Oreochromis niloticus: one gene and its partner. The protein of the gene in region 1 binds, or shares a complex with, the protein of each later gene. Links are inferred from orthologs where the notes say so. Each region holds a gene or a part of one and is shown on either strand. Other genes may lie near its edges. The genes, in order: npr3 and nppc.

Region 1 (16,230 bases):
CTGCTGAAATTAGCAGAAGCTGCTGAGAATTGTGCTGATAAGAGGTGAAAAGGCTGAAAATTTTTCAGAAAAGAGGTGAATCAGCAGAATTTCTGCAGAAAAGAAGTAAAGAAGCAGAAACTTGGGCTGAAAAGAGATGAATCAGCAGAGTTTCTGCTGAAAAGAGTTTTTTTTTCTGAAACCAGCCAAAAAAGCTGGAATTTGTGCTGAAAAGGGGTGAAAAAAATCAAAATTTTGCTGAAAAGGGGTGAAGAAGCTAAAGTATACCAAATCAAAGTATTTGTGCCAAAACATAGTGTTTCTGCCATATTGTGGTACTACTACATCACAACATGAATAAGGATTAAAGATGAAAGAAACTGGCAACAAATTCCTCCACTACAAACCAGTCTGATACCACTTCTTTGCAGTGTTCACGTTTACTAAGGCACTACCCAAAAGGCGCCACAAGAGGGCACTCCAACACAACAGATGACCTATGTACACTGATGCACTTAGTAACAGTCAGCCTCCTTGAATTGGCAGAAATACTGTGATTAAGTAGTAATACTATAACATAACAGATATACTGTGATGTTGCAGACATAGTATGTTTTTGCATTACTCATTTGTAGTGAAAGAAATTAGCAATATAAATTACAGGTCTGTGATAGTGTATAAATTTGTAGTGAAAAAAAAAATGTTGACTAAGGTGGGATTGAACCCACGACCTTTGAGCTGCAGAGCCATGTCATTACTTATTCTGCTGAAATTAGCAGAAGCTGCTGAGAATTGTGCTGATAAGAGGTGAAAAGGCTGAAAATTTTGCAGAAAAGAGGTGACTCAGCAGAATTTCTGCAGAAAAGAGGGAAAGAAGCAGAACGTTGCGCTGAAAAGAGGTGAATGAGCAGAATTTCTGCTGAAAAGAGGCAGAACAACCTGGTTCTGCTCAAATTCACCAATCAGAGGTACTGCCTCTGTCTGCTTCATCAGGCTGTGTACTTGTATGTATTTCTGCCATGTTAACAAGAATCTTAGGTCTATATTAGAAAAGCTGCTAAAATCATAAAACTTTGCAGAATTGTAATAAATTAGCAAAATAAATTACAGGTCTGTGATAGTGTATAAATTTGTAGTGAAAAACAAAATGTTGAACAAGGTAGGATTGAACCCACGACCTTTGAGCTGCAGAGCCGTGTCATTACTGATTGCGCCACCTGGAAAAGGGGTGGGTGGCTGAAAGACAGAGACTTGACCAGCAGTTGCTGAAAACAACTGAAAAAGCAGAATTATCTGCTAAAAAAGAGGTGTAGACGCGCTTGATGGAGATGGCTTTATGTGTAAGGGTACACTGAAGAGTGTCAAGAAAGGAGAGTGCATGCAAGCAGGGAAGATGTGTAACAACTGTCACAGGTAGGACTCGAACCTCTGCCACCAGGTCTCACAGAAGCTGCTCAACCCTCTGAGCCAAATGAGGTCTGGTCACAAAGGGGGCGGGTGTCTAAAACACAGAGACTTGAGGAGTCAGAATTAGATCGCGGTGAGAGGTGAAAAACGCCGTTTTTTGGAGTTACAAAATGTCGTGTAACTCAAAAACTAGGAGGGCTAGCAGCATAATTCTTGTACTGGGTGAATCAGCGGACTTTGGTGTATTTTGACTGCGATTTTCATAGCTCTTTGTACCTCCGTCGCGGAGATATGACGAGAGAAGAAACGGCTTCATTTCCAGAGTTTGAAGACTGAGAGAAGGACAGATTTCCACCCCTCAAACAAACGTAACTCATTGCTCAACGGTAAGATGACTGTAAAAACTGCTTCCACTGTGAGTGTCAGCAGTGTCTGAAGATATATTGGCACAAGCCTCATGTCCTAACTTTGTTTTGTTAAAGAGATATGACGATTTGAAAATGCCTCTCATTAGAGAATTTCAGCTCTGAATTTTAAAACCTCCCCATAGACTTTGAATGGGGAGTTTTCAGACCTTGTGTCACTTCGAGGCAAATTGCGAAAAAACGGTAAATCTCACAATAAAGATAGTGACATTGCCTGAAAGCCAGCAAAAATACCTACGTTTTGATGTATAATTTGTGGGGGTTGAGTGGAAATTGAGTGAGTAGCAAGAAGTTGTTGGAACATGAAGAGAAAATTCAGAATGGACGAGTGTACACTCTGAGTTAATTGCATAGCAACCATAGCAACGCATGTATTTTCTGAAAAATCACAATTTTGCAACTGAAAACTTAAAGAGGGATAAGATTAAAACGGTAGAAGATCTGAAAAAGCTGAATTATACAGGAATAGGCCAATAATTTGAGAACATTTTAAATTTTGAATGGAGTTTCTAGGTGAAAGTATGAGGAAGTAGTTAAGTTTCAAAACCAAGCAAGTTTTAGCAGAATTGTGGAAGTTTTCCATTCATTTCAATGGGACAAATTAAAGGAAAAAAGTGTAATTTTTAAAAAGTATAATAGTAATAAACACCAAAAGATATAGCTGGAATTAGCAGAAAGAGCAGAACAGTTTAGAGTTTGAACGGAGAAAATCGGCTGAAAACTGAGGGAGTAGTTAAGTGCCGAAAAACGGGGGAGCAACTTGAAGAATAAAGTTTAAAGAGAAACAGGAACTCAATAGTGTGGATGCCTTTGAGGGCATCCACACAACTAAATTAAACCACATGTCAAGGTTGGCTGAAGGAGAACCCAAATGCCAGACTTTTAGAATGGAGAAAGTGTGTTTATTTACAGAGAAAACAGCGCCAACAATCCACAGTGTGTGCTCTCCCAATTCCCCGTGCCGTGATTCCTCTCCGTGATGCGTGGTAGTGCTTCGTCCTCCTCGGTGCCTGTGTTCAACATTGTGCTGCTCCCTCCACACGTTTCTGTAATCACATTGGAAACAAGAGATGCCACAATGAGTACCGTCCCATCCACCGGCCGACTAAACACATTAACCATTCCAACAAGAGAGTAATTGAAACCACAAGCTGTGCACTAACTGTATTTCTAGTTTAACAATCCCGCACCGACTGCTGCTCCACTGCTCTCTTAAGTAGAGCTCCTTGATTAGGTAGATCAGCAACAGGTGAGTGATTATCACAGGTGTGGCTGGCTCCAAGGCAGGGACTCTCCAGGCCCAGTGTGGACAGCAAAAACGTAGACTTTCTAAAACAATGACGCATGTTAGTCATGTGATGCAGTCATGTGACCAATTAAACCAAGATAGCAGAGGGCATTACACAGCAATTGTTTTGTTTGAGCCCTATTAAAGATTAATATCACTCTGTACATGCTCCAGATAGCTTTTCTTCAAATTCTTTAATTCTAACTCGCTTTTGCAACTTTGTACTTTTGTGTTACTCGCAGCAACAACTCCACCTCATTGTTAGTCCATTTCAAAAACTCGGTGCTTTTCCTCGACATTTTGCCGCGATGTTTCAGAGAGCCAGAAAGTAAATACACGGCTGACAGAAATGAGGCAGGTCGAATCTTCTTGCGTTTCACACATGCGCAGGACTGAAACGTAAGCGTTTTCGGCTGTTTCAATGTGGACGCACAACTCTGTGAAAACGACTGAAAACGACAGTGTGGACGCGGAGCGTTTTCCGACGAAAACGCCGTTTTCGGGCTAGTGTGGACGTAGCCTCATACTGTGATGGTACTATATCCTCCCTGCTGTAGGTGTATATCCCAGCAGTTTGAGGCTGAGGCTCAGGCTGTGGGAGACTTCCCATGATGCACTGAGCATTTTTCCCCCACTAACCTCCTTTCAGTACCATTGCCTTTATATGCCAGTGCTGCATGTCGTGTCTACTTTTGGCTACTCTTTCCCATTTAAAAAGGAATTCCTCCAACCCTTCATTGTCAAGTGGGATTGTCTGATCCTTGGAGTTCTCTCTCTGCCACAATACACCCGCAACCAACGCAGGCACATCGAGTACATATGAAACTCCATACAGAAAAACCGGCTGGCTTGAACTAGAGCCCTTCTGTGAGGCAACAGTGTGAAGCAGTGCATCTCTGAACACTGAATTTGAATGTTACAGTAAATCACTTTCTGTCACGGTTCTGGGTCATTTTGACCCAGCTTTCTGTTTCTCATGTTTTGGTGTTTTTCTAGATTATGATTATGTTCTGATTAATCAGTGATACTGTTTTGATTATGATTATTATTTAGTAGGTTTTGGTCAGTGTCTAGTCTGTCTCTCTCTGTCTAGTCCGTGTCTTAGTAAAGTATGTTTTGTTTCCTGTTTTACTTTGAAGGATCATGGTCTTGTGTGATGTCAGTGTGTTCAATTTTACCTCTCCCCTGTCTTGTTAGTCCAATTTCTCCCAGCTGTGTCTCCCTCCTGTTGCCCATTCCCTGATTACTTCCCTGTGTATATAGCCCTGTGTTTTCCTGTGCTCTCTGTCGTGTCGTACCCTCCACTAGCTGTGTGTTTTGCCTCCGTGTTTCCAGTGTTTAGTCTCCAGCTCCTGTTTAGTAGTGATGGGTAGATGAGGGCTCGTGAAGCGTTTCAGCACATTCCCCAAACTGTATCAATACTGTGTCGACACAGTGTTGCTGTTTTGCTCCATACTGACACCTGCTGGACCTTAAATATCATTGCAGGGAACTTACTTGAGACTCACAACAGACACTGATTCAATGACATAGTCATACGTGTATACACTGTAAGGTATTGTACTTTCCATGGAATCATTTTATGTGTTTTACATTGCAAATATTGTAGACATCTATAAAATATATTGTGAATGACATAAAGTAAAAATTAAAATGAAAGTATTGTGAATATAATATTACCCATTTAAATGTAATTGATTCAGAGTTTATTATAAATTTCTATTCAGAAAAATAAGTTTATCCAATGTTTTTGCATTCAGTCTATTGCGGGGGGTTTTCACACCATTTCCCCAGCTTTGGAAAACTCACAGCCACAGATGAAGCTGGGGTACACAAAAGCTGTAAAGTCAGGTGGAAAAGGTTCTGATAAGATGTCTTCCTATTCCCCCAGTACCTTAAAGGATCCTCTAATCTTGGAATGTTTCTCTCCGACACTCTCCACAATACTAAGGGGTTGGCAGTCCTTTATAATAAACTTCAGGACTGCCTGGTCCAGAACAGTCTTCCTAGATGCTTGATTTCAAAATAATAAAACACATATTAATAAAAAAAAAGAAAAGTGTTGATAAAGCTGTTCAGTGTCAATATAGGCCGACCTGTGTTCATTCTCAGTGTGTTTGTCTCCTCATTTTCATGTTTGGCTCTGTAATGCCTCTGTAACACTGAGGAGGTGCTTTTGTTTGTAAGAAAGCTCTGCAGAACAGATGCGACATTTAACCTGCATAAAATGAAATAAATAATTTACACTGCAGGTCACATTGCTGTTTTTCCTATTCTGATAGATTACACTGAAACAAAGACAGACAAACTATTTGCAGTTAAAAGATCAAAATGATCCCACACAGCAGAAACATTTCCATTTTGTTATGGAAAGATGTGTATTTTTATTTATCTTTGCGAGACTCAATTTGTGGGGGGGTTTTGGTGGCGACTCGTTCCGTTGACAGATGCGGATGCGGTACCTTTTAAACACAGCTTGGCACGTTGGTAATGAGCGATACAGCAGCTGTATCGATCACGTGACTTTTTCTTAAAGCGACGCATGCACCGATACAGGCATCGCTAGGTGAGCTTGATACATGCGCCGGTGCGTCAGTGTTGCTGGACCCATCACTACTGTTTAGTATTCCAGTTCCCGTGTTTTATTCCTCCAGGGTTTTTGTTTGTCTTTTGGTGAGTTTAGTTAAGTAAGAGGTTTTTCCCAGCAATAAAGCTGCGCTTTAAGTTGTACTTCCATGTCTGAGTCCTGCATTTTGGATCCACCACTGCTGCTTGCCTGCCTGCCACACAGCCGATCATGACACTTTCTTTAAATTGGCTGCATTTTCAGTGTCCAGGTGTAAGAAATGACCAGCAGAGGGGAGTAAAATCACACACTTCTGTGTGTTAGATACTGTTGCTTCAGTACATCAGTGCTATGACAGCGTGTGAAAAACACGGGAAAGCAAGCTTTAGTTTCTCTTTATCTATTTATCGTGTCCTTAAAGACATTTATGGCCAGACTAATGAAGCAGACAGCTGAGGTCAGGCTGCGTAACTGTGCAATGGATCACTGGCAAAAAGTTCACCTATATACTGTATTTCTATGCCTGTAACCAAAAGTAAATATAACATAAAACATATAAAACAATTAGAATGTGTATCACATGAAATAATTTCAGGAGCATTAGGTAATGTGGGCAGTTAGGACTTGGCCACAACTGATTTTCATGTTCATCCTGAAGGTGTTGGATATTCTTGAAGTCAGTGCAGTCATGCTTATCAACGCACAGCCTGGGAAATCAAATTGGCCGTTTTCTTGCACAATGCACAATGCACTCAGTACTGCATCTGTATAATTCTGATGTCAGAAATGATCAACAACAAAAAGAGCAGAGGCACAGCTGAGCCTACAGGTTCAGCAGGATGTCTGCTCAGACTTCCTTCTCAAAAATAAACATGAATCCAGACGTAAAAGATGAGATTACATGTGCGCTGAGCTGAGCCTAATGACCATAATTTCATAATTTCTCTAGGCAGTGGTCTAATTGGTGTAATTTGTACAATAAATAAAGATGTGCAGAATTATTCTTTACATTCTGTAAAATGCTTTCCACATCATTTTCCATGTAATGATTTTAAATGTTACAAAATCTGTGGAAAACATCAGCACTAACGTCAGCAGACTGCAGTCTGAATGCCAGCAAACAAAAGGTGTCTTTAGACAGCGTCAGTAGGAGGGTCATTAGTGACACATGTTAATGAGCCATGATAAGTGCAGAGGTTATGAGCTGAAGCTTTTTTGTTTGCTTTGTTTATTCATTCACAGGAGTCGCTCACTCTGTTCGTTTGGATCTCTCTGCTGTTTGTGTTCTTAGTACAGGCCGTGAACTCCATCACTGTGCACACACTTGTTCTATCTGTCTACTGTTTTATTTACAATTTATCTGTTTCATACGGCTTCACCACGGCTGCGGTTATTCTTCAACACAGACTGATATCTGTCTGGCAGCTTTCTTTTAATTCCTCCAAGCAGTCTTCAGGAATAGTTTTCGAGGCTTCTTGAAGGACGTTCAAAGCTTTTCTATCAAGATGATCCCACACCTATTCAATGATTTTGAGATCTGGACTCCGGGGAGGCCAGTCTGTTACTGATAATGTTGTGTTGTGTGTTTTCTATCTTGGTATGCAGTTACTGCATTGGTAGCATCTTTGGGATCATTGTCCAATCAGAGACTTTGAAACACAGCCCCAAACCACGACCGAGCCTCCACTGTTTTCCAAAGATGACTGTAGACCAGGGGGTCCCCAATCCCAGTCCGCGAGGGCCGGTGTCCCTGCAGGTTTTAGATCTCACCCTGGGTCAACACACCTGAATCACATGATTAGTTCATTACCAGGCCTCTGGAGAACTTCAAGACATGCTGAGGAGGTCATTTATCCATTTAAATCAGCTGTGTTGGATCAAGGACACATCTAGAACCTGCAGGGACACCGGCCCTCGTGGACTGGGATTGGGGACCCATGCTGTAGACCAGGGGTGTCGAACTCCAGGCCTCAAGGGCCGGTGTCCTGCAGGTTTTAGATCTCACCCTGGGCCAACACACCTGAATCAAATTATTAGTTTATTACCAGGCCTCTGCAGAACATCAAGACATGTTTAGGAGGTCATTTAGCCATTTAAATCAGCTGTGTTGGATCAAGGATACATCTAAAACCTGCAGGACACTGGCCCTTGAGGCCTGGAATTCGACACCTGTGCTGTAGACCCTCACTTGTGGTACCTCCATCCTGAGCTCCTCTGAACATACTGATGGCGATTTGGATCCAAAAAGGCTAATCTGGATTCTCCACTCCATACGGCCTTCCAGTGATTTTTTAACATTTATTTTTATTTGATTAGCATTCAAATATCTCAATGAATACAGAATTAAGATCTACCACAAAGCAAGAAAGCATGAGACAAAGCTAATCACATGCGTATTACGCCAAGCCTTTAAACAAAAGATCATTTAGTGTGCAGCTCGTGTACACAGGGCTTGAAGCAAAAGAGCAAAACAAACAAACAAAAAACAAAACATAAAACCTTCCACCTTAGATAAGTAAATACATTAAATTAAATTTCATAACAATAATCAAAGCAAAACAACCAAGAGTTTCAGTATTATTATTATTGCTCATTTCATTCTTGAAACTCTAGTTTTAAACATGTTTTTAAACAAGGAAAATGAAGTACACCTTTTTTAAATCACTGTCATAACTATTCCACACATTAACCCCTCTGACAGAAACACATCTCTGCTTTATGTTTGTCCTTTTCTTGTTTTTTCTTGTTCTGGAGTAATTTGGCAAACCTCAGCCTTTCCTCCCTGTTTCCTTAAGAATGGCTTCTTGACAACAACGCTTTCACTGGGAGCATTTCTGATGATGCCTCAGTGACATTAGATGGATCCACTGGAGGGTCAGATGCATCTCTCAGGTCCTGTGTCAGATCTTTGCTGGGTTTCTTCCTGTTTCTCACGGACATGACTTGTAATTTGTCGTTTATACTGTTGTTTATGGTGTACAGTGTTTTTGCAAGAGGCTTGTCAGCAGTGTAAGCATGCACTGCTGAGCTTAAAATGATTTCTTTGCCAGTTCACTGCCAACATTTAAAAAATAAAGAACTTAGGGCTTCATTTAAATCGTTTGTATACCATCAACATCAAAATTTTAATTTTTGGTCACATTTTTCCACCAGTCTTTCGACTTATTTGCTACTAATGCTGAAAATGTCTGTACAGAAATCTTGGTTACTGCAGAGTCCATGCACACCTGCAGTTTGACCCTGTCTAAATAAATGATCTATAGCTGTGTTACAGATGGTTAGAGCTTGATCAACAAGAAATAAAGAGCCGTCATCTGCATTAACTGGAGCGCATTAAGTCGTGCTACGTTGAAGTGGCTCATTGTGCGCTCGGGAGCGGTGTAGCTTTAAGAAGGAGGTGGGCAGCGCTCCGATGACGCATGAATAATCCTGAAAAGATGCTTCTAAACTCCAGGCCGGAGCCAGCGTGTATGATGGCTGTTGACTGAGCTGGAAGAATTTCCGAGCCTGGCACGATCAACTGTTGAGAAAATAGTTTGAACAGGTTCAGAAGCTTGGGAAGCGACTCTAAATGCAGAATAAAACACACCCATTCTGGCAGATTGGCTTCTCCCAAAGACAAATACAGTTATTTACTATTAAGGCATTTACTAACGACAGAGGGCTTTCTGTTTGCAGCTCTATGTGCGCTGCCGAGAGCCAACTTGAGGGAAGGAACATTGGAAGAATATTTCTCTAAAAGTCTTTTGCTGTCTGTCTTGAAGAGGAAGTGCTACCATGCCACATTTGAGAACACTATGTGTCTATTTCTTGGTAGCCCTGAGCCCAGTTATGACAAACACCATCACCGAGGACATAGATGTTTTGGTATTTTTGCCACAAAATAATTCTTATCTTTTTTCATATGAACGAGTCGCACCAGCGATCCATTACGCACAAAAGAGACTGAAGGCGGACGGGGGTCAGTACTCTGGGTTCAACTTCAACATCCAGTTTGAAAACTCCGACTGCCTCTATGATGCTTTCTTCACATTAGCGGACAGGTCTTGCGGACAGAAGCCCGACCTGATCCTGGGTCCTGTGTGCGAGTACGAGGCTGCGGCAGTGGTAAGGCTGGCGTCCCACTGGAACATCCCGGTGATCTCGGCAGGTGCCCTCGCCACGGGTTTCGCGAACAAGAACAAAGAATACTCCCACCTGACTCGCATCGCCCCGTCCTACGTGAAAATGGCAGAGACTTTCACGGCGATGTTTGAACACTTCACCTGGAAGAGCGCTCTGCTGGTCTTCGAGGACGACCGGGAGCAGCGGAACTGTTACTTCACGTTAGAAGGAGTATACCATCTGATGAGTAACTATAACATCGAAAGCTATGTGTTAACTGAAGACAAACCCCTGGACACGGACGAGCTCCTGCGAAGCATCAATGACATGGGAGGTAAAGCAGCTTTCCTTAGTCACTTTAAAGCGTCTCCCTTAATTAGACGGTGTCTGAAATAAGTCTTGACTTTAGGTCACTGGATTTGGCTGACAGCTAACCATCATTCATAGCTTGGTGTAGACTACATATTGTTTGTGTTCTGTTTCAGTTGATGAAACAAATGAGCCCTACACTGATGTGCCCTTCACAACCCTGTATTTATCTGACATATCAGTTTGTACATGCACTTCATAGTCCTCCACTAAAGCAGATTTCAGGTAATTAAACAATCATAATGGGCTAAATTAGGCACTGCCAGAAAATGTAAGTACAAGTATATACCTGCACTGTCACACAAATTCACAGTCTGTACATTAACAACTATCCAAGTTTCAGCTTCAGCAGTCTGAATTAGGTCAGTCTTGTAATCTTCTCCTCCACAGCCTTTCAGTACACGCAATAAATGGCATTATTACCAAAACCAGCACAATCTGTTCAGGCACAGGGATTAACTGACAGTTCATTGAATCAACTAAATGTTTTATCAGACACAATAAGCAACCTGAAGCTGTGAGAGATGTTTCCTCTTATTCCCTATTCTGTCCTGTTCTCTTACCACACGATTCACATAACAAAAGGCAGAGTGAAAAAGCATTTTCACTTTTTTTGCACATTTCTCAAACTTTCATGTTTCAGATCATCAAACAAATTTAATATTAGACAAATTTAAAATGCAGTTTTTACATGATGATTTAAATAACCCACCTGGTCCTGTGAAAAAAAAGAGTAATTGCCCCCATTTGTTAAATCATGAGTCACGTGATTAACCACATCATTTTTGGAGAGCTGGGTTTAATTTCCTTAGCCACACCCCTTTAATGTCAAAGCCTGTGATTCAACAATAAGAAAGAGACGGCGAAGCGGCATCGATGGGCGATTTCCAGGAGAAACGCCGGCTCATCTCACATGGGCCAAAACACGATGTTTGATTATTTGGGGGGAAATGGTCTATGGACATCGCTGCTGATGTAAAACTAAGACAGCATTTCATAACAGGAACATCACACCAACAGTTCAACATGGTGGTGGTGGTGTGATGGTCGGGGGTTGCTTTGCTGCTTCAGGATCTGGATATAATTAGTGGAACCATGAATTCTAGGACAATGTCAGTTTGCTCACTCATGTTCTGCAGCAGGACACACAGAGTGTCTTCCTCTGAATAGTTTTTAAAAAACAGGTTTTTTAGTGGCCTATTCAAAGTCCACACTCAAATCTGATATGTTTAATCTTACAGTGAAACCATTATTAAAAACCAATCATGTTATCTTATTAAAATTTGTTTCATCTGAATCATGTGTGATAAATATGCAAAAAACTAAGGAATCAGAAAGAGGTCGAATACTTTTGCATGGCACTATCTACAGTAGATAATATAATTTAACATCTATAATAATGAATCCAATTATAATCCCAGATTTTTAAAAACCTCTGGTGTTTTTAGAAAATTAAGATGAATACAGAAGGAAGCCGTCCTGTAACTGAGAGAAACCCTGTCAGATATAACTCTGCTGCTTCTGCAGTGATTCCTCACAGCTCTGAAAACATTAATAAATACTTTAAAAAGCAGTGATTTTTCAGCCCGTTCCTCTTCAGACCCAAGCAAACATCCCTCGTGTAGCACAAGCTATCACTGGTGATAGGCATGTGTGTATTTGTTTGGCCTCACCCCACCCACTGCCTCCATTGCTTAGACAGACTTACATAACATCCTGCATGCTGTCTGCATGGTTCATCATCTCGTGTCTAAAGGTTTTGTTGCTTCTCACTTGACAATCTGGACTCCTTCTCTCCAGGAACATTTCCAACTCACCTGGAACCACAGCAGCCAACCAGCATCATGTATGCTGTCACGTCTACATGATTGCTCTGTTTCAGTGCTCATCACTATGTCACACAGCTTCTTCTCTGCGAGCGTGTCCAGAGGTGTTTTTGCATGGAGCCATTAAAATCAAAACTCCACTTGAAAGTAAAGAAGCCAAGACCATTTAAACCAGTGGGATTACTGTTGGTAAATAAAGCATGGTAATGACATGCAGCAAATCACAGGGCCACCCAGCAATCCAGCCAGGGACTCACTCAACACATTTGAACATGTGGTATGTGCTTAAAGCGCGAGGCTAAAACACTGATTAGCAGCTTGTTGGCACCGCTGCTGTGGTCATGACAGCCCCTGAGGAAGTGGCACCGTATCAGAGTAGCGGCTGTGCCGGTGTCCTAAAAAGTTGCCTGTGATAAACTTTAAATGGTGACGAGAGACTAAGTGCACTTGATAGCAAGAAATTAGTTTGAGATATTTTATGGGATTCAACAACCGAGCAGTGGGCAGAGCTGAACCCTCCTCCATGTTTCATATACGGCTACACAAAAATATCAATAACCAATGTGAACACAGCAGGTTTTTCTAAGAAATGTAAATCTTTACTTTCCTAACTAGCTTCCAGTGAGAGGCATCACGTCTGATGATGCTGTGACAGCTCTCAGCTTTTTTCCCCTCTGGCACTCAGTTGCTTCTCTCATCTGTTATGATGTCACGTTTGTAGGACATGATCAGCTTTTACACAAAACTCTGTATGAAGAGTCCAGAAGACCAGAAATGCCCACAAACATACTCTAATCATAAAGTGCAACACTGTATGGACTGTTGCATATTACACAACTTGTTCAAGATGAACAACTAATTGAGTGTAAAACAACTGCCAACATGATTTTATAAATGGTGTTGTTGGCCCGTCACTCAGAGACAGCACAGCGTTACAGCCTGCAAAGCAACTATTGTACTGGGAAATATCACCACGGCTGGAAGGGCCCAAACAATCCAGAGTGGTGTCCTGGCACCAACATGAACAGGTCAACTTGATAATAATTACATATTATTAGTTATTTTTTGTGTGCTGTATGGTGTTGCTTTCATCTGACAGCACAGAGATGCTTGATCAGCAATAAGGAAATAATGACGTCTGTGGTTAATAGCAAGTTATTACTGCTAAAACAGAAATAATGTCCAAATATCTTGCATAAACAGTAGGGATGGGACTCAGTTTTGCAGAGAGCTGAGTCACAGTAGTTCAGTTCGGGTGAATAGTTAGTCTGCTTATCAGTGTGACATGCACTCAAGCTACAATCAGCTGATTTCAGTCTGCGTGTTGCAGTCTACAGCATGGATATGGACATTACTTTTACTACATAAAATGATGAGAGCGCAACGTTAAAGTGCAAGCTGCATCCATCTACACAGATGGCATGCTAATGCTAAGCTAGCCATAAACCCAAAGTGATGTTAGAGTGGGCGAATGCTGACCCTAGCAGCCAGAGCCTGAACTTCAACAGGTAACAAACAGGTAAGCAGTTGGACTGCAGCCTCTGTTTCTACCTGTTCATGTTTCTAAGGTAGAGTCACTGTGGTGATAAAGTTTGTTCTGGTTTTCATCTTTGCTTTGTGTTTTCATCTTTGTGTTCGTTCATACCTAAATACTGAGAGAAAGATCATATTAGGACAGGGCTTTGTGTGGGACTGGAGACTTGGGTTTAAATGTGTTTCAGGTCATCTCATGGCGAAATGCAACACTAATATAACAAGTAGCATAATGAATTATTTTCTCCTGGTAGTAATTAAGTAACACACTGGATTACTTTTAAGAACAGTGTTGTGTAATGTGTGTAACACATGACGACCCCAGCACTGATCACAACTGACAGGGGAGATACAACAAACACAGACATTTGACCACATTGCATCCAATGGTAAATGGACTGATTCTTATATAGCACTTTTCGACTCTCCCGGAGTACTCAAAGCGCTCTATACAACATGCCTCATTCACCCAATCACACAAGCACTTCTAAACTCAAGTGCAACTAATAAGCATTCACACACATTCACACTCCGATGGACGCATCGGAGGACAATTTGGGGTTAGTATCTTGCCCAAGGATATTTGGCATGCAGACTGGAGGAGCCAGGAATCGAACCACCAACCTTCCAATCAGTAGCTGATCTGCTCTACCACCTTAGCTACAGCCACCCATGTGCACAAATGTCATGTCATTAATATGCTGCTTAGTGGTGACTCTAAGAGTGAAGTCAATGACAATCAATGAGAGGATCATTCAGTAATAGGAACTCCTTAATAATAATAATGTAGTATAGGTTGCCGTTTTATAATAACAGAGCAGGGAGAATACTAACAGGAACTAAAACGAGAGCTCATATTTCGCCCATATGAGCTTCTCTTTACTGACTTACTGAGTCTCGAATTAAATTTAAAATCCTTCTCCATCCAGTGTCAAGTCCTGAATGATCAGGTCAGTGATATCTTAAAGACCTCATATAGAGCTGGGTGATAGAACGATAACGATATGTATTGCGAAATAACTTTTTCTCGATAGAAAAATGTAACTATTGCGATAGGCCTCATCTCTCTTGTCCTCTTAAAAAAAAAGAAAAAAGAACGGCCAATCAAAATTAAGTAGCGCAGAGCCGAACCAATCACAGCCGCAGTGTCACATCACGTGACTTGTTACATACAGCACAAGCGCCAAGGCGCACATGTGTATTTGTTTTTGCAGCCGTGCAGCCCGGGTAATGAAGGAAATGAGTTTGCCGACTAGAGAAAAATGAACCGAGAGCGTGAGCGAAGGTTACCGAAGAAAAAACAGATGATGGTTCCAATTCTGGAGAGATTGTCAAACGGAAGGGCCACAGAAGTTCCGTAGTGTGAAGGTATACAATAAAGCGGTGCATGCTCAATCTCTGACTGAAAGCGCTAATTCGTCATTCGGCTTTTGTCAGACTAAAGTAACTGTTAAAACTGTTTGAAAAGCTAAGCTATACAACAAGGAGAGATTGAGAATTTCCTTTTAGTTCTCAGTTTATTTGATATTGACAAAAGTTAGTCAATTTTGTCTGTTCTTCTATAAAACGACCTAAGATTTATTTTTAGAATTAATATTTTGTTTCTAAGTGGAATTGACAATTTAGTCTGTTTTGTTTGTTCTATTTTGAAACTTAAACGCTTTAGCGGCTGCCTTTTGTGTAGTTTGCAATATTTGCCTTTATTTATCTGAAACTGAAGTCTCATGTTCCTTAAGTACATCTGCCCTGTTGAACTTATTATGGGAAATAAATATTTTAATTAAAACAAGCTGCTAATTATTTCACATTTTACTTGTGAGCAACGGCACATTTAAATCTTACAAATATAGTTATTTGGCTTATATCATGATAAGATAAGATAAGATAAGATAAGATGGCCTTTATTAGTCCCACAGGTGGGAAATTTGTTTTGTTACAGCAAAAGTGCAAAGTTATGTAGCAGAAATTAGAAAACACTGGAATGCAATAAAATAAAATAAAATAAAATAAAATACTATGTACAATAGAATAAAATAGAATAGAATAATATATACAATAGAATAAAATAGAAATACAAATACTATATACAACTGAGTAGGAAAATACAAAAACACAACTTCGTCAGAAGAAGAATTGCACGTATAGCAGTCTTATTGCACATGTGTGGGTTTGTGTGTTTGATCAGCTGCAAAAGTCTTTATTGTAGAGTCTGACAGCAGTGGGGAGGAAAGACCTGCGAAATCTCTCCGTCCCACACCGTGGGTGCCGCAGTCTCCCACTGAAGGAGCTGCTCAGTGCTGTCACAGTCTCCTGCATGGGGTGGGAGATGTTGTCCAACAGGGATGACAGCTTAGCCACCATTCTCCTGTCACTCACCACCTCCACTGGGTCCAGAGGGCATCCTAGAACAGAGCTGGCCCTTCGGATCAGCCTGTTCAGTCTCTTCCTGTCCCCAGCAGAGATGCTGCCCCCCCAGCAGACCACACCATAAAAGATGGCTGAGGCCACCACAGAGTCATAGAAGGTCTTCAGGAGTGGGCCCTCCACTCCAAACGACCTGAGTCTCCGAAGCAGGTACAGCCTGCTCTGCTCTGATATATATCATTATCGCCTGAAATGAAAAAAACATGTCGTGATATGAAAAAATCTTATATCGCCCAGCTCTAACCTCATACTGTCTTGCATTTCTCACAGTTTCCAAAAATAGAATGGGATTCAAAGCCTTTAGGTGTC
Region 2 (16,241 bases), on another chromosome or scaffold:
ATTTTGTTGTTTGTTTTTTAGTTGTACGTGACTTCAACACTTTTTTGGGGGTCTTTTTTTTGTCATCAAGTGAGCAGTGTTGAACAATCAGTCCAAAGTTTATGTTACTGACAGACATTTTAAAGATTCCCTTTCCTTAATTCCACTAAAATCATCAAGGTAGGTAGCACACAGATGGATCCAACACATTACTGCACAAAAACAAATAATGGCTTGTAAATTGGATTTTTGTTAACAAAGCACTGGATTTTGTGGTTGATGTTTCACCTGGACATTTTATTTTCAAAGTTTAGACAATCACTATTCTAGGATGTTTCCAGAAGTGTGTAGCACTTACAAATAGTGTAAGTAGCAGTTATTTTGCTTATGCAACATAATGATGCTAATGTGTGGACGCTGCTTGCACCCTTTTGTTTGTATTAAGCTGCAGCCCTTCAATAAGGTGGCCTCTCTTTGTCCTGTGACAGCTGGGATAGGCTCGAGCCCCACCTGTGACCCTGATAAGCAGTTCTGAAAATGAATGGATGGTGTGGTGCAGCTGAGCACTGCAGCAACATGTTCTGTTGGGTTAAGAAAAAAAACCCCGCTGTTAATGCTTTAAAAACCATATTCCTCATGACTCACTACAAGTTTTAAAAGCAATCACTAATAAATGAGATATTGGGGAAATATTGGTCTCGAATAAAAAAAATTAATTAGGGAAACAGTGTTTTTGTGCAGTGGCATTTGTCTGGCAATAGGCAAGTCCATTTACAGTCAAGCAAAAAAATTGTAACGTCGAGCCAAGATTATATATCTGTTTTAAAATGCCCTGTTTCCATGTGGTTTTGTCGCAGCTTGTGCAACCCAAACCCCAAACACGTATTTTTCCACATGGTTTGAAAAAGTGACACACCAGAGCTTTGAAATAACATGTCCGCCACCAAGTATGTGTGGTAATGCTGTGAACACTGGAATAAATGCTTCTCAAACAGCCTGTATATTATTCACTTTCATGGTTTTAATGGTAATAGTAACCTTGGCGATGGCATTAATAATAATAAGGGGATTATAAAACGTGAATAATTATTGAATTATGATTGTAGCCACTTATAACACGATGCCATGAGCATTTACATCTTTCCACGCTGAAATCATTGGCTCAGTATCTGGCCATGTTAGCAATTTGTGCTTGTCCATTTACAGACTTTTCAACGACTAAACACAAACCCAGTAAATTAAAAGCCAGACACCATCTTTTGTGGTCCAGAAAACAAAAATCTGGGTAAGAATAGCTTTTGACCTAAGAGCATTTTCATATGTTCTGTCTTCTTGCCTCCAGATTGGAATGTTTTTCTGACTGAGGCAATATGCCATGAGAGCAAAAAATTACACACAGTATTTTTGGCACACAACTTAAATATACGAATAGTAGGCCAAATGGCTGGCAGCGTCATTCTGTTACAAGAGCTGCACTATTTCTGCATTTAAACCTTCACAAGGAACTTGACCTGTGTCTCTTTGGAATGCTTGGAATTGAGCGAAAATCTAAATTATAATGCCACAGTGGCTCCCCTGTGATATCATGAGATGCTAAATCTGAATCTGAAGTGACTGAAATTTTTTCCCCTTTTAGTCACCTCAATGTCTGCTCAAAACTCATCAGTATATTTTGGTTATGGAATTGCAATAAAGTAAAAGCACAAGTGCATGCTTTGGAATAGGCAATAAAACTCTATTGTTCATATGACTGTATTCCACTTGTGGTTTCTTTATGCCTTGTGTTTGGCTTCATGCATGAACAGCATTACACAATATGATGGAGGGCTTCCACCATTCTCAGGAAAACTCATCTCACATGCTGTGACACCTGCATTAGCTTACAAAAAGTTTGCTTTTAGTTGGGACATATAATGTTGCATGTGATGTGACTGCTAAGGGTGCATTTTTACATTTTTATTTAGGTTATAAGTTTTCCACAAAAATATCAGGACTAAAAAAATATTCCATGCAGCAAATTCACCTGATCCAGCCGCAAATATAAGTTTTATCAAACAAAAGAGTTTCAAGCTTAAAGTACAGTGTGGCTCTGTCGGCTGAACCCAAACTGGGAGTTGGTTCCAAAGCACAGAGGTCTAACAGCTGATATCACCACCTTCCACTGTACTTTTCAAAAGTAAAGCCCTTTTACTCAGATTCTCTACCGGGATAGTGTCGTTACGTGCTATAAGGTCTTCAGGCTATGATGATTTGGATGCCATGTCATCTGCCGGTGAAGGTGGAGGTTGGTCAGCTGTCATCTAGGAGTACTTCATGCTTCCATCTGCTGACAAGCTTTAATGGAGATGCTGACTTCCTTTTCCAGCAGAAATCATCACCTGCCCACAGTGCCAATACTACCAAATGCTTGGCTGATCATGCTACTACTATGACTGACCAGCCAGCCAATCCATGCGACCCAAACCCCACAGACTGTCAAGAAGAAGACAATAAATACCTGACCTAAAAAATACAGACAAACTGAAGGCTAAGAAAGCAACCTGATCACCTGCATGCCTCGCCGCACTGATGGAGTATTTTGCATATTAGTAATATAGTTTTGAGTATATAAATTAACACACTTTTGATCATTACAGATGTACATTTTTACTCTAATCATTTGAGAAACTGGATTTCTGATTTACTTGTACTGAAGTACAAAAATGTACTTTTTCACAGTATTCAGGTATTTATGATGATGCACTAGTGAGTGTGTTCCACAGTAAAACAAGTGTTAACATTTCTGAAATTATTACATACCCCTATAATATCAAAAAACATCAAGCCAGGAGACAGGAGACCCTACCTCCTGAAAAACGAGTTCATTCCAAAACGTGTGTTTACACAGTCATCTTACGCATTTTGTGTACATTAGTCAAGTAGCTCTGTGTTGCCAATAAAGGCAAGCGTGTTTGTTGGCACATGCAAAAGGCTTCAGAGCACTTGTGTAAAAAGCATTAAAATTCCACACGCAATAAAACCGTTATTTATAGGACCATAACAGCCTTGTAGTTTGTCTTACACAAACCCAGAGGAGGAATCAAGACACTCAACCCTCCCATAGACACTCAGTGCAAAGGCTACTGCAACACATGGTCTCTCCATACGTTTGCATAGCTTCCTGGTGCAAGTAAGTTAGGCTGCTTCATTTTCATTCAGCCACATCAAAGCTTAAAAATTTACTGAAAATTGAGCGGATAAGAGTTTGCGGGAAAGGCAGGGAGAAAAAGGGGGAAGTACAAAAGGACATAGCAAAATAGGTGCTCTCAGTAACCCGTGTGATGTCATTGGGAAAAGTGTGTAACATTGTTAAACTGTACAAAAAAAGGCAAACTTGTGACACAACACTTGCGACATGAAGAAAGAATGTGTCATTCACTTGTTAAAATTCAAAATAAAGGGATTAGCAATCAGTGAAAAATGTTTTGCGAAACCCAAAGATGTCATCATGGACACAAGGTCAGCAGAGTTCAGCTGCTCTGTATTGCTGTTGTAAAAGCGGATTAGTAAAATGGTTTTCCATGCAATTGAACATCTTTACTGCAGTTACCTTGGAGTGTGAATGGCCTTTTTAGCAGCAGTAGCTGCTAAAAACATATTTTTATTGAAGCACCACTCGCATATAAGTATGCTATCACATATGCAATGTGATGTGATGCACGTGTGTTGATTAGTTTCAGCTTAAATTATTTTTTGCACTAAAGAGTAACATGCTTCAATATAAATGCCATCAACACTGTGAAAAAAACTAAAACAAAAAAAAACTAGTAATAAAAGTTCAGATGTAACAGTGTGACTCATGTCAGAAAAGTACATCCTGTTGATGATTTAAAAAGCCTACTTTATTTCAACATTTTTTTTATAAGAAAGGAACAACCTTCAAATCTTTTAGTTTGTTTTGGGACTACATGAGTACAAATGTTTTGACGACAAATTTCATCTACATTTTTTCCTGTTACTCTTACTAACTTATTTAATTCAACATGGACCAGCAGTAAAACAGGTTGTGGGCAGGGTGCAAGGGGTGACCTGTGATGGCACAGGTTTTCCTGATACAGGAGGACCTGGCAGTGGCCTTCAGGGGTGGTGTTAATAACCCTCTACACAGCCTTCCTGTTCTCAGGTGTGGGCCCTGCCTACCAAATACCCAGGCAGTAGGTGAGCACACTTTCCACTGAGGAGCAGTAGAAGGCTATCAGCAGCTTCTGGTCTGGGTTATTCTTCCTCAGGACAGAGGAAGTGCAGCCGCTGCTGGACCTTCTTTACCAGGGCGCTGGTGTTGTGGGCCTAGGCGAGATCGGCGGAGAGGTGGGTGCCCAGAAACCTGAAGGTGGAGACAGATCCCATCCGTTCTCTGTTTATAATAAGAGGGGAGTGGACTAATGTGTACCTCCTGAAGTCCATTATGGGCGCTTTTGTTTTAAGGATGTTCAGCTTCAGGTTATTTTGTTTATGTATAAGTTGTATAATTCTAATGTTTTATTTGGGAACAGAATGGTGTGTATGTGTAAGTTTGGTGATGGAGTTTTTATTATGAATGAATGATGAATTTTTATGAATTATTATGTCTATGTTTTTATGTTTAAGGACAACAGATGGAAATTAGCCCTTGGCTATAATCTGGTATTTTTACATTCATGTAATTTTTTTTACATTTATGTTCATTAACATGCACTGTCCTAAATAAATAAATTAAATTAAATTTTTGGAGTCACAGGTGTGCAGGGCGTTCAGTAGTGGGCTGAGAACACAGCCCTGTGGGGATCCAGTGCTGGAGAGAGGTAGGGCCAAGTTGGGCTGATTGAGGCAAAATTAAGAGCTATTTATCATCACCACAGCTTACCTTACTCCGGCAGATTTTATTACTGTCATTTCAGAAAGTAAATATAATGTCAGCACAGGAGGTTTTGGTTAAAATTGAAGATGACTTTAAAGAAAACCTTACCAGGGAATCAGTGAAAATATCACAGTCAGATCACCCTCGAGCACAGTACATTAGATTAAACTCATGAGTCATTTATCCATATATTTGTATTGGATCATTTGTGTTATGATTTTTTTTCTGTGAAAAATAAAGTTATCGCAAAACTAAGAACACCCTGTAATTTTAATAACTTGTAGAACCGCCTTCAGTAACAATAACTTAAGGAACAGAAGTTTTCTGTATGTCTTTATCAGCCTTTTACATTTTTGTGGAAGTGTTTTTGTCTAGCTCTTACAACATTACATTAGTTCGTTTAGGTTTTTTGGGATTCATTTATGCACAGGTCTCTTAAGGTCTCGCTGCAGCATCTCAATCAGGTTGAGGTCTGGATTTTGACCATGGCAAAGTCCAAACCTCAACCTGATTCCTTTCTTTTTGAGCCATTCTGTTATAGATTTGCTGCTGTGCTTGGGATCATTGTCCTGTTCCAAACCCTAATTTGGCCCAAGCCTTAGCTGTCAAACAGATGGCATCACTTTGGATTAGAACACTTTGGTATACAGAGGAGTTCAACTCTAATGACTCCAAGGTGCCCAACTCCTGTGGCTGCAAAACAAGCCCAAATCATCACCCCTTCACCACCATGCTTGACAGTTGGTATAAGGTTTTTGTGTTGATATGCTGTGTGCTGCCAAGTGTGATGCTGTGCATTATGGTCAGACATCTGCACTCTGGTCTCATCTGTCCAAAAGACATTGTTCCTGAAGTCTTGTGGTTTGTTCAGATGCAACTTTGCAAACCTAAGCTGTGCTGGCATGTGCTTTTTAGACAGAAGTTTTCTCCCATCAGCTCTTCCAAACTTGTTTCTACTCTTTTTCTAATTGTACTATCGTGAACTTGAAGTCTGCAAAGTCCGATATTTAGCTCTTGTTTTTTAATTTTTATTTATTTTTTTGCACTGCTCCGACTTCAGAGTGCTATAAAAACTTTCATTATATTTTTCTTTTTATAGCTTTATATAGCCAAAACAAGTCCATTACTTTCATTTCAAGCAATTAAGAGAACTTCTGCATGTAGTGACAGTGATGAGTGTAGTAAGTTTGTTAGATTGAAGGAAAATTGACATTGTAATGCTTTGTCCTGTCTTTGAAGAGAAGCAAAGTCTGGATGCATGTTGCTCTGTTATAACATCATATATCACTGGCCAGTCATCTTGTTCATCTGTTCAGTTTATCAATGTCTCTGTTTTATGAGTTTATAGGGCAAAACCATTTACTTTATATGCTTTATCAAAGTAACGTTGTCTAATTATACACACAGTATTTTATTAAGCCTTCATAGTCATAATCTTTAATATACACCATAAGTGATTATTATTATTAACGATCATTTTTTATGGTGTGCAACCAAAAAGAAAGCAGAGTATTCAGCAAAGGCTGAAACATGGACACCTAATAATGACACTGCTGCTGGCTGCCATCCAAACATCATTTTTGCTGCTTGATTCAATGCAAATTCAACACACGTTCTGATTGACATTTTATGGCAGGTAGGCCAGCACTGCTACAATAAATATGATATATGTTCTGCAAAAAAATGCAGGTATACACTTTCCATATGCCAAACCTGCTCTAAAAAGCCTTTATAGGACTTTCAAATCCTGACGATCTGCTGATTAATGACTTAGTTTTACAGTATAGTATTGATCCACTAACATGTGACTTTGAGGGGTATTCGCTTTTCGGCATAGCAAATACTGCCACTCTGTGTTCCAAAACAGATGGTGCTGCCTGAGCTTTCTGCTCCACTATGTGGGGCCTCGACTACTCCAGAAACACTCCACACTGCAAAAAGTATATTTTTTTTTTCACAAGGGTTTTGGTATTGTCTCAAAATGTGCGCATATTCTTTAAATAGGTAAATTATTCCCAGTGGGGTGACTTTTCAGCTTAAACTTCCCTTGACAACATGCCGTTTAAGTTGTATAGTGATTGATTGCAACTTATTTTAAAACATTTTTAGATCATCATCATTTTAACTGCATATCACAAATTAATAGTGACAGTTCTATGCATATCTTAAAGCAGGTCAAGCGGCATATGTAACCAACCGTGGGTGAGCTTACGAGTGTTAGGCAACTATACATCAATGTCAGGCAGTACCAAAAAACGCTTCTTTATAGTTGAACTTTCTTGGTTTACACTGTTTAAAACACGTATGGTCAAACTTTTAGATTTAACATGGAACTACTCTCTCAACCCTGACAGTGAAGCAACTCATGCATGTGTCACACTTCTACAGAAGGGTCACTCTCTCACAGAGTTCCTTTTTTTAAAATCCTGAGCATCAGAAACTTTTCTTGGACACTTCCAAGGTGTTTCCACCGTATTCCCAGCCCCTATAGCCAGCTCCTTTATTCAGTTCTGGCTAACCAGTCATTACTGGTTGACATAAAACAGGTGCAGCAGTGCTGGACACTAAATTAAAAACTCTGGTTTTCTGCCAAAAGTAGACAAACCTGGTGCAAATTGCTTAAATACAACTACATTCATTTATATGTTAAAAAAAAATAATCCCCAGCTGCAGATTAAAGCTAGATTTTTTATACATTTTAGTGCTACAGTAATTTTTTCCGGTAAGACTTACTTGTAACACTTTAAACATGAAAAAGCATTCATTTATTGATATGATGTATAGAAGAATATAGCTTGAGAGTGCTCTTTGTTGATTGGCATTCTCTAAACCAGTAAGAGGGGTTGAAAGGCTACGAGTCATAAAGGCTTTTTCTTACACCAGATTTTATACCGACACCCATTCAACTGTTCTTCTCTGGACTTGTGGTAAAGTAACATAGTCTGTATGAAAACCCATCGTCACTCATTGGTTGAAGTCAGCGGCTAATGCCAATTCTTAAGCCTAAAGTAAGTATAGACATATAGACTTCTGTACAGTTTCACTCATTTGTGCAGAGTCACCCTCCTCCTGGTTTATAGAAGTATCGCTGGTTTAATATCCTGCATATTGACTGCACTCTGCAGACTCACAGGCTAAAATTTAAGAAAGCAGCAGCTTTTCTTAGTGACATGCCAACTTTGATTCAAGAACAGTATAACACCATAAATTATGGCTGGACACTGGTGTGGTAATCATTGCTTAGGGTTCATGTCTGTGCTTCTGTATGGTGCTTGGACACTGTACAGTTATGCTACTGAACAGTCAGCCTCCTTTCTGTGTTGGAGGTGACTGTCTAAACAGCTCCACACATCCAGTGTGTGTCGGAGTAGCCACAGTAGTTCTGAGATTCTTCTCTGTAAGTGGGCTACCTGATCTAAAGACAGAAAACAAACTGTAAGATACCCATGAAACACAAAACCATCTAATTAAAAGGTTTATGGGGAACTGCCATTTACATCCAGACACATGACATGACTTATAATGAGTGTCTCTGTTTTTTTATGAATCAGCATGAACCGTCTGAAGTTTTTTCGGTGTGAATCCCCCTTAGCTGATGTCATGCTCTGATGTAAATAACGTCGAGCAGATGACTTAAACTGGGTTGTTTAATAATTCCATCTCTGTATGTTTGCATTCTTCTGTATAATAATAATAATAATAATAATAATAATAACAATAATAATAATAATAATAATAATAATAATAATAATAATAATAAAGTTTTACCCTTTAAATAAATAAATGAAAAACGCGGGGCTTGAGTGGCGCAGTAACACATCACATTATTTCTGGTAAAATTCCGCTTGGTGCCTTCCAAAAAAGTGATTAGATGAAGAAAATCACATTTGAATTTCTGGAAGGTATCTAAAAAATGACCTAATTCCTTTAATTCCAGTAGCAGACTCTGAATTTTCGCTTCGTTAAAGAAAACAGGATATGTCATCCACGCGCAGCATATTGTATGTCTTTTTAAGATGTTCCGCAGGACAGGCGGTTGGCATCCTAGAATTCATTTCACTGCCAAAGTCGCTCTTCAGCTCTTGACGCGCAGCCTTTGAAACCACCTTTGGTTTCAGCTGTTGCATCTCAGCCAGAGGTCTAAAAGCTTAAAGTCTGTGCCTTTTGATAGCTTATAGCCTATATCATTTTCTCTAACACCGCGATGACCGGAGCTTGTATCATTTAATTAATCCCTGGCGTGACGTGCTTAGAGGCAGGTACAAAAAACAGTGAATAGGCGAGGAAGGAGAACCATTACGCAGGTTTTCATGACATCACCATGGGCTGGCTATAAAGCGGCGAGGATTAATACACAGAGTTAGAGAAGCACTTGAGGAGCTTTGGAGTAAAAAACGGACTCTCCTTGTGTTTAGAAGCTGATTGGCTGAAGCTAACGTCCTTCGATCTGAACTGCAGCGCAGAGGAATCCCCGAACAACTGCTAGACTTGTCAAAATGAACTTGTCATACTTTGTAGCATGTGGACTTATGGTCACCTTACTTTCAGTGAGGATGGGGGCAAAACCTTTAACTCAAGCGCAGCAGAAGGTAAGAAAAAGTCACTTGTATTGTTATTACTGACTAGGAGAACCTTTTGATTGGTTTGGACTAAAGCTGCTGGAAGCTGAATACTGAATAAGCAGCTGATCTGTGGCACAGGTCCTCCAGGACAGTAGCTTTGCGCATCATATTTCACAATTTGGTTCTTGTTAAGCTGTTGGGGAAAATCTGTCTTTTTCCACACTCGGAGTGTAACACCCCTGTCCACTTGCACTTTATTTACAAACAGACGGCATGTTCAGTGACATGCAACCGAAACAGCCGGTGAAAGTTTGTTTCCGAGCATCCCTTTGATATTTTTAGACTTTAAATCGCCCCAATGCGATTTTTTAAATGAAACCACATATGGGGAAAACATTAAAATTCTTGCTTTACAATAACTCTGAAAAGCGATTATACTGACTATCAACATCATTTTTGGAATTTTATGTATTTATTAATTGTTGTCAAAATAAGATTCACCAAACCAAAACAAAATTGTGCGTAAAATCGCAATTACGCATAGAATTGGCCCGAATGAATAAAGCTGACCCTTTAAAAAATACTCGTTTGAAATAATGTTGTAATTATTTGCTAAACTCACTAAAATTTGGGAATGTTGGAGGTCTTCGTTACAGTCTACTTTACGAACAGATAAGTAAGCTACACGCACCTGTTTTAAGTTTGTTTATTTTTTTCTTCACTTTGAGAGCGAGGTGTCAGAGTAGGTAACTTAATAAAACAGAAGTACTGCACCCTCTCGGGATGTTCCCTTCTTCAGGGGTTTCCTTCGAGGTTTGAACCTCATGACTGGAGCGTCTCGTGGATCTTTCCCAAAGTTGTTTTTGGTTAGATGATACAAGTTAATGAATTTTTGAGTGCCGTGCTGTGAGAAAAATGCCAACGCGTTTTCCCCCCTGGCCATTACGTTTGTGAAAGCGTTAGAATATATGCCAAGCTGAGGTTTACCTCAAACATTTAGCATATAATGACTGCTCTGCTGAAACGGGCACAAACCATAGATTTCACTTTCATCAAAAGCATTTGTCTTTGCACAATTTATTTGCCTGAGGGAGAGATTGTTTATTTATTTTCTTATCTTTCAGTCTCTTAGAAGTTTGCTGGGCGAGGAGCTGGCGGAGTTTCTGGAGTCGGAGGAGAGGGAGAGACGGCTCGACGCTGTGCGCACTCGGATACGCTTACTGCGCGATTTACGGGTGGACACCCGGCCCAGAGGCATGTTGGCTCGTCTCCTCAACGATCAACCCCCAAACAGGAAACACAAATCGGGAAGCAAGAAGGCTGGCTCCTCGTCACGGAGTGGCTGCTTCGGACACAAGATGGACAGGATAGGCACCATCAGCGGCATGGGATGCTAGGGCTGGAGCAGCGCTGCAATGAATGGTGAGTGGTCGCTCATATCAGTCCCACTTTAACATTATGCAACACTAACTGCAGCCACAAACAGTGACATGTAAACAGAGCCCAGAATGAACAGGGTGAAATGAAATGAAAGAATAAATGCTGAAAGACAAGACGGAGACGAATTACAATCAGGGATTTAAAAAAAGAATGGCCTGGTTAATAAAATGGGCATAATAATTTATTTTTTAATATTTTATTTATTATAATTTCATGTTGGTATTCCTCACGTTAAAAGGATGATTTTACAGGATTATCTGTCATATACCTAAGACACATGTATTTATGCAGCATTGCATGGTTCAGCTACATGGAAAATATTGTGGTTCACTAACTGCCTTTGACATAGAAATATTCAATCTAGGGAAATAATCAAGCCTTAACCTTGTAGCATTACCTCCTAGGACAGGATAGTCTTAGGATAGTTTAAGTGGATAGCCCACTTAAGCTGATGTATGGGAAAGAAACCAGTGAGCATTTAGGAAGTCCACTCTTGTATCTGTGCACATCATCATGAATGATCCCATCTGCTTCTATAACACAAGAACAATATATCACATTTAAGAAAAAGGGCAGGGAGATATCGAGGACGGAAGTGGGGTTGCAGAGACACATTCACGCACATATTTGGTTGTCAAGATCTTTCTTGGAAACGCATTTGTTTCACTAAGTGTTTTTAACATAAACTGAAAAGGGGGCTGTGTGGGTTAATTAAGGATTGGGGAATCTAAGTGACACACGATTAGTCCTGAGGCTTCACACCTTTTTTCGATTTTATGGTAAACTCTGAAATCCGTATGGGGGAGTGTTAGTGACTAACAATGGGTGAGTGTGTTTTTCATTGGTTAACACCATACGGGTGAGTTAATCTGAAGTAAAGTGGTTAGATGAGAAGTGAGTTAATGAGTAAAGAACCAACAAGTAAATTTGGAGATTCCCTGACTGATACACGTATTACGTTAAGAAAAGAGCGAATAAATGAACATGTGTTCATTAGGCTGACCTTGAAAGACTAACCTTTTGCTTTTGTTTTCCTCTCTTTTTCTAGATCTCTGGACGATGTGTTTGTTTGGATGACAAAAGTTGAGTTTGTTCTTACCAGAAGGGGAAAATATAGAAAAACTCATCATGATTGTTCTTTGGTACGAAAGTCACCATGACCAGCATAAACAAAGACTTGGATGACAATACTACAAAATCCTAATATAGATCTATATATATATATACAATAAATATGCAGGTATATATACATATATACAGTACATATATGTATACCATACAACATGGTCAACAGATACAAACACAGATGCGTAGTACAACATGGCGGACAATGGTGTAAAAACTACATACCGCAAAGCTGTATATTGTTGCTGCTGCTGCTGCTGTACATTCATGTACTTCATCTTTCCCTGCATAAATGTATTTATGTTTAAAATCTATTTATATGTTTATAAAAAAAAGAGATATTTATAAATATGAATTTTATTTATGTAACATTTTGGAAATGGATGCAAACTGTAGGTCAATTCTGTTTGTTGCCTTTTTTTTCCCATTTGTCTCAAATAGTTGTAAATGTTTTCAAAAACGATAAAACGGACATTCCATGTGCACTTACATCTTTGATCTCGGTGTCTTTGTGTGTTCCGTGAAACTAGTCAATTCTAGTTGGTGAGCATTTTCTGCCTGGCTTCTGGAGGTTTTGTCAGAAGAGAAACAACGACTGCCCTGCTGTTAGATGGAGCGCCATTCATTTTTATTCAGTTCAATTCAGTTTCATTTCTATGGCGCCAATTCACAAGAAACAGTGACCTCGAAGCGGTTTATGTTGTAAAGACCCTACAATATTAGAAAGAAAAGAAAAACCAAGCAATCATTCGACCCCCTCTTGTTGATGGTGGGAAGAAAAAACTCACTTTTAATAGGAAGAAACCTCCAGAACCAGGCTCAGGGAGGGGCAGCCATCTGCTGTAGCCGGTTGGGTTGATGTTACAAAAGGCACACTTTGGTACAGAGAGCCAGAGTTTAACATTTACTAAAGATTTTATGCTGCTTGGATTTTGAAAAAGTGTTTCAAACATTAGCAAATATCTGAAACTCTGTGTTATCAGATAAAATGTTTATATGAAACAATAAGGATTTGTTGAGTGCTGCATCTATACTGCTGCATTCAACCTAGCATGATCTACCCACACTGTTGAAAGCTCTTGCACAAATTTGCTGCACAAATAGAAGAAAACACTGAAAATTTACATTTTGACTTAAAGCGATCTTTAGAATTCAGGCAATAACACTGTAATCCCAAACCACTAATTAAAAAGATGATAGAAAGCCACTTCCTCCTAATGTTCCTCTAATTCTGTTGCACATTACATCCAGTTACCAGTTGGTAAATTTAAGAGCGATATTATTTAAAATAAGCAGTAAATTCACCTTAAAATTATCCATCCATCCATTCTCTTATGCTTCTCCAATTCATCATGGGGAGGGGGGAGTAAATGGTAAATGGTAAATGGCCTGTATTTATATAGCACCTTACTAGTCCCTAAGGACCCCAAAGCGCTTTACATATCCAGTCATTCACCCATTCACGCACACATTCACACACTGGTGATGGCAAGCTACGTTGTAGCCACAGCCACCCTGGGGCGCACTGACAGAGGCGAGGCTGCCGGACACTGGCGCCACCGGGCCCTCTGACCACCACCAGTAGGCAACGGGTGAAGTGTCTTGCCCAAGGACACAACGACCGAGACTGTCCAAGCTGGGGCTCGAACCGGCAACCTTCCGATTACAAGGCGAACTCCCAACTCTTGAGCCACGATCGCAGGATGTACCGTAGGGTACATCCTGCACAGACAGCCAAACTGTTGCAGGAATAACATACTTTAACATTATATAAAGATGATATATAAGCAAAATGGCTTTTTTATCTCGTAGTTTCCAAACTAAAAGGCTTAAAACAAGACAAGCATATAGAGAAAAGGCCATATACGCGCGATATTAAAAAGGAAAACAAACACACCCAGATTATAATAAAGAAGCATAAAAAAGATAACAAATCGTGCTCAGTTGTGAAACTCTAAAAAGGTCCATTGCTCAAAGATTTCATGGTGTAATTACACAAAAGGGGGTGAGAGCCAGAAAAATACAGAGAGAACACTTTACAAGCTAATTAATACAGTAAAGTCAATGTAAAAGTCTTTTCAAGGATTTCCTTTCTAATACCATGAAACATGATATTTACGGTGTGAGTGTTGTGAATGTGTGCTGACTTTGAGGTTGATACCGATTTGCAAACTGGAGAGAAGTACAACTGACAGAAGCAAACCGAGAGTGCACGTGTACTGTGAAAACACATTTGTAATTATAAATTAGATGTGCTTGTCTCTTTTTTGTGAACCTATATTATTGACTGTAGGATGGTCAAATTCATAGTAACACAACTTTAAACACACACACATACAAAACAGGCCCTGAGGCTGTTGATCGGCTGGGGTTATCCCACAAAACCATTTCTAGGGTTTATAGAGAAGTTTCTAAAAAAAAAAAACATCCAGTGAGCAGCAGTTCTCTAGATGAAAATGTCTTCTTGATTACAAAGGATCAAGGCAGAATTGGAGACTGTTTTGAGCTGACAGGAAGGCAACAGTACCTCCAATAAACATTTGTTACAACTAAGGTATGCAGAAGAGCATGCACAACATGTTGAACCTTGAAGAAGATGTGCCACAGCAGCAGAAGACCGCAAAAGCTGCCACTCTTGTCAGGTAAGAACAGGAAACTGAGGCTATAGTTCACACAGGCTCAACAAAAATGGACAATGGCAGACTGAAAAAATGTAAACTGGTCTGATCGGTCATCATTTGGATGGTAGGATCAAAATCTGGCATGCAAGCATGCATCCATCCTACTTTGTATCAGTGATTCAGCTTGATGCACTGGTGAGAGGGATATTTTCTTGGCACACTTTGGGCCCCTTGTGTCCACCTGTGTATTGTTGCTGACCATGTGCATCCCTTTATGACCATCTTCTGAAGAATGCTTCTAAGAGGATAACGAGTCACAAAGCTCAAATCACCCAAATCTGTTTTTCTCAACATGAGTTCATTGTATTGAGAAAGCCTGTGCATTCACCAAATCTCAGCCCAGTAGAACACATTTGGGATGTGATGGATTGGAAAATTCACATCATGGATGTGATGCTGACAAACTGCAACAACTGTGTGACGCTATCGTGTCAATATGGACCAAAATCTCTGAAGAGTGTTTCCAGCACCTTGTTGAATCTATATCATGAACAATTAAAAGCAAAAAGGGCTCCGGTCCAACCTTGTAGTGGAAAGACATAACTAATGAAGTGGCATTGATGCAGAGGGATTGAATCTTCCCATTTCCTGAACATAGGGAGCCAGGGATACCCCTTCATGGAAAACATTACTAAGAAATAAAATGAAAGGGCTGTAAAGACAATGGGAAATTCTGTGCATCTTTCCTTTGTGATTTTGTATTCTTTTAGTACCATATCACCCCATTAGGGCTCTTCGCTCTCAGACTGCTGGTTTACTTGTTGTTCCTAGAGTATTTAAAGGTAGAATGGGAGGCAGAGCCTTCAGCTTTCAGGCCCTTCTTCAGCTTCCAATTTGGATTTGGAAGACAGACACTATCTCTACTTTTAAGATTAGGCTTAAAACTTTCCATTTGATAAAGCATATCAGGTGAATCAGGTGACCCTGAATCCTCCCTTAGTTATGCTGCAATAGGTGTAGGCTCCTGGGGGATTCCCATGATGCACTGAATGTTTCTTCTTCAGTCACCTTTTTCACTCACTGTGTTTAAACACATCTTTGTATTCAATTATCATTAATCTCTGGCTCTTTTCCACATCATGTCTTTGTCCTGTCTTCATCCATTTACCTTCAACCGGTCGCAGCAGATTGGTGCCCCTCCTTGAGCATTGTTCTACTGGGGGTTTCTTCCTGATAAAAGCTAGTTTTTCCTTCCCACTGTTGCCAAAGCGCTTGCTCATAGGGGGTCATATGATTGTTGCTGAAAGACAGCAGTGAATAATTGGACAAGAGTCAGAGTGACAGGAGGGTTTTTGCAAAGAGGCATACCTGTTCATTCTGCAAATTCAGCATAGACACTGCTGTGTAGTTGTATGTACCTTTGTTAACTCAATATGGCAATTTCAGTAGCTCTTTTTCTTTTGTTGTTGTTGTTTTTTTGTTTTGTTTTTTACACAAAAACAGTTTTTTCAGTTATACTGATATGCTTTAAAACCACCAACAGTGGGACGACTGTAATAACAGTCAACTACAGTTGTGATCACAAGTCCAGAATGTCACAGCAAGACTAAGAAAAGGGGGAAAAGTTGGACAGAATGC

The links.
Region 2: the proteins of npr3 (region 1) and nppc are in contact, whole or in part, in a crystal structure (PDB 1JDP), measured with the Homo sapiens proteins. The link is inferred for Oreochromis niloticus from reciprocal best matches to the Homo sapiens genes NPR3 and NPPC. Residues at the interface, in NP_001191304.1 of Homo sapiens: Asn110, Tyr138, Ala141, Pro142, Arg145, Ala161, Gly163, Phe164, His166, Glu170, Tyr171, Tyr204, Lys208, Leu209, Arg211, Tyr214, Phe215, Leu217, Glu218, His221, Glu222, Gln225, Ile233; in NP_077720.1 of Homo sapiens: Gly109, Cys110, Phe111, Gly112, Leu113, Lys114, Leu115, Asp116, Arg117, Ile118, Gly119, Ser120, Met121, Ser122, Gly123, Leu124, Gly125, Cys126.

What each region holds. Positions count from the first base shown.
Region 1 is NC_031977.2:298,876-315,105, reverse strand, and holds the start of npr3 (atrial natriuretic peptide receptor 3), read left to right. Parts: upstream 1-8,008; 5' UTR 8,009-9,442; coding exon 9,443-10,103; intron 10,104-16,230. UniProt on the Homo sapiens protein: Receptor for the natriuretic peptide hormones, binding with similar affinities atrial natriuretic peptide NPPA/ANP, brain natriuretic peptide NPPB/BNP, and C-type natriuretic peptide NPPC/CNP.
Region 2 is NC_031980.2:34,350,497-34,366,737, forward strand, and holds nppc (C-type natriuretic peptide), read left to right. Parts: upstream 1-8,932; 5' UTR 8,933-9,351; coding exon 9,352-9,444; intron 9,445-10,541; coding exon 10,542-10,814; 3' UTR 10,815-10,839; intron 10,840-11,905; 3' UTR 11,906-12,471; downstream 12,472-16,241.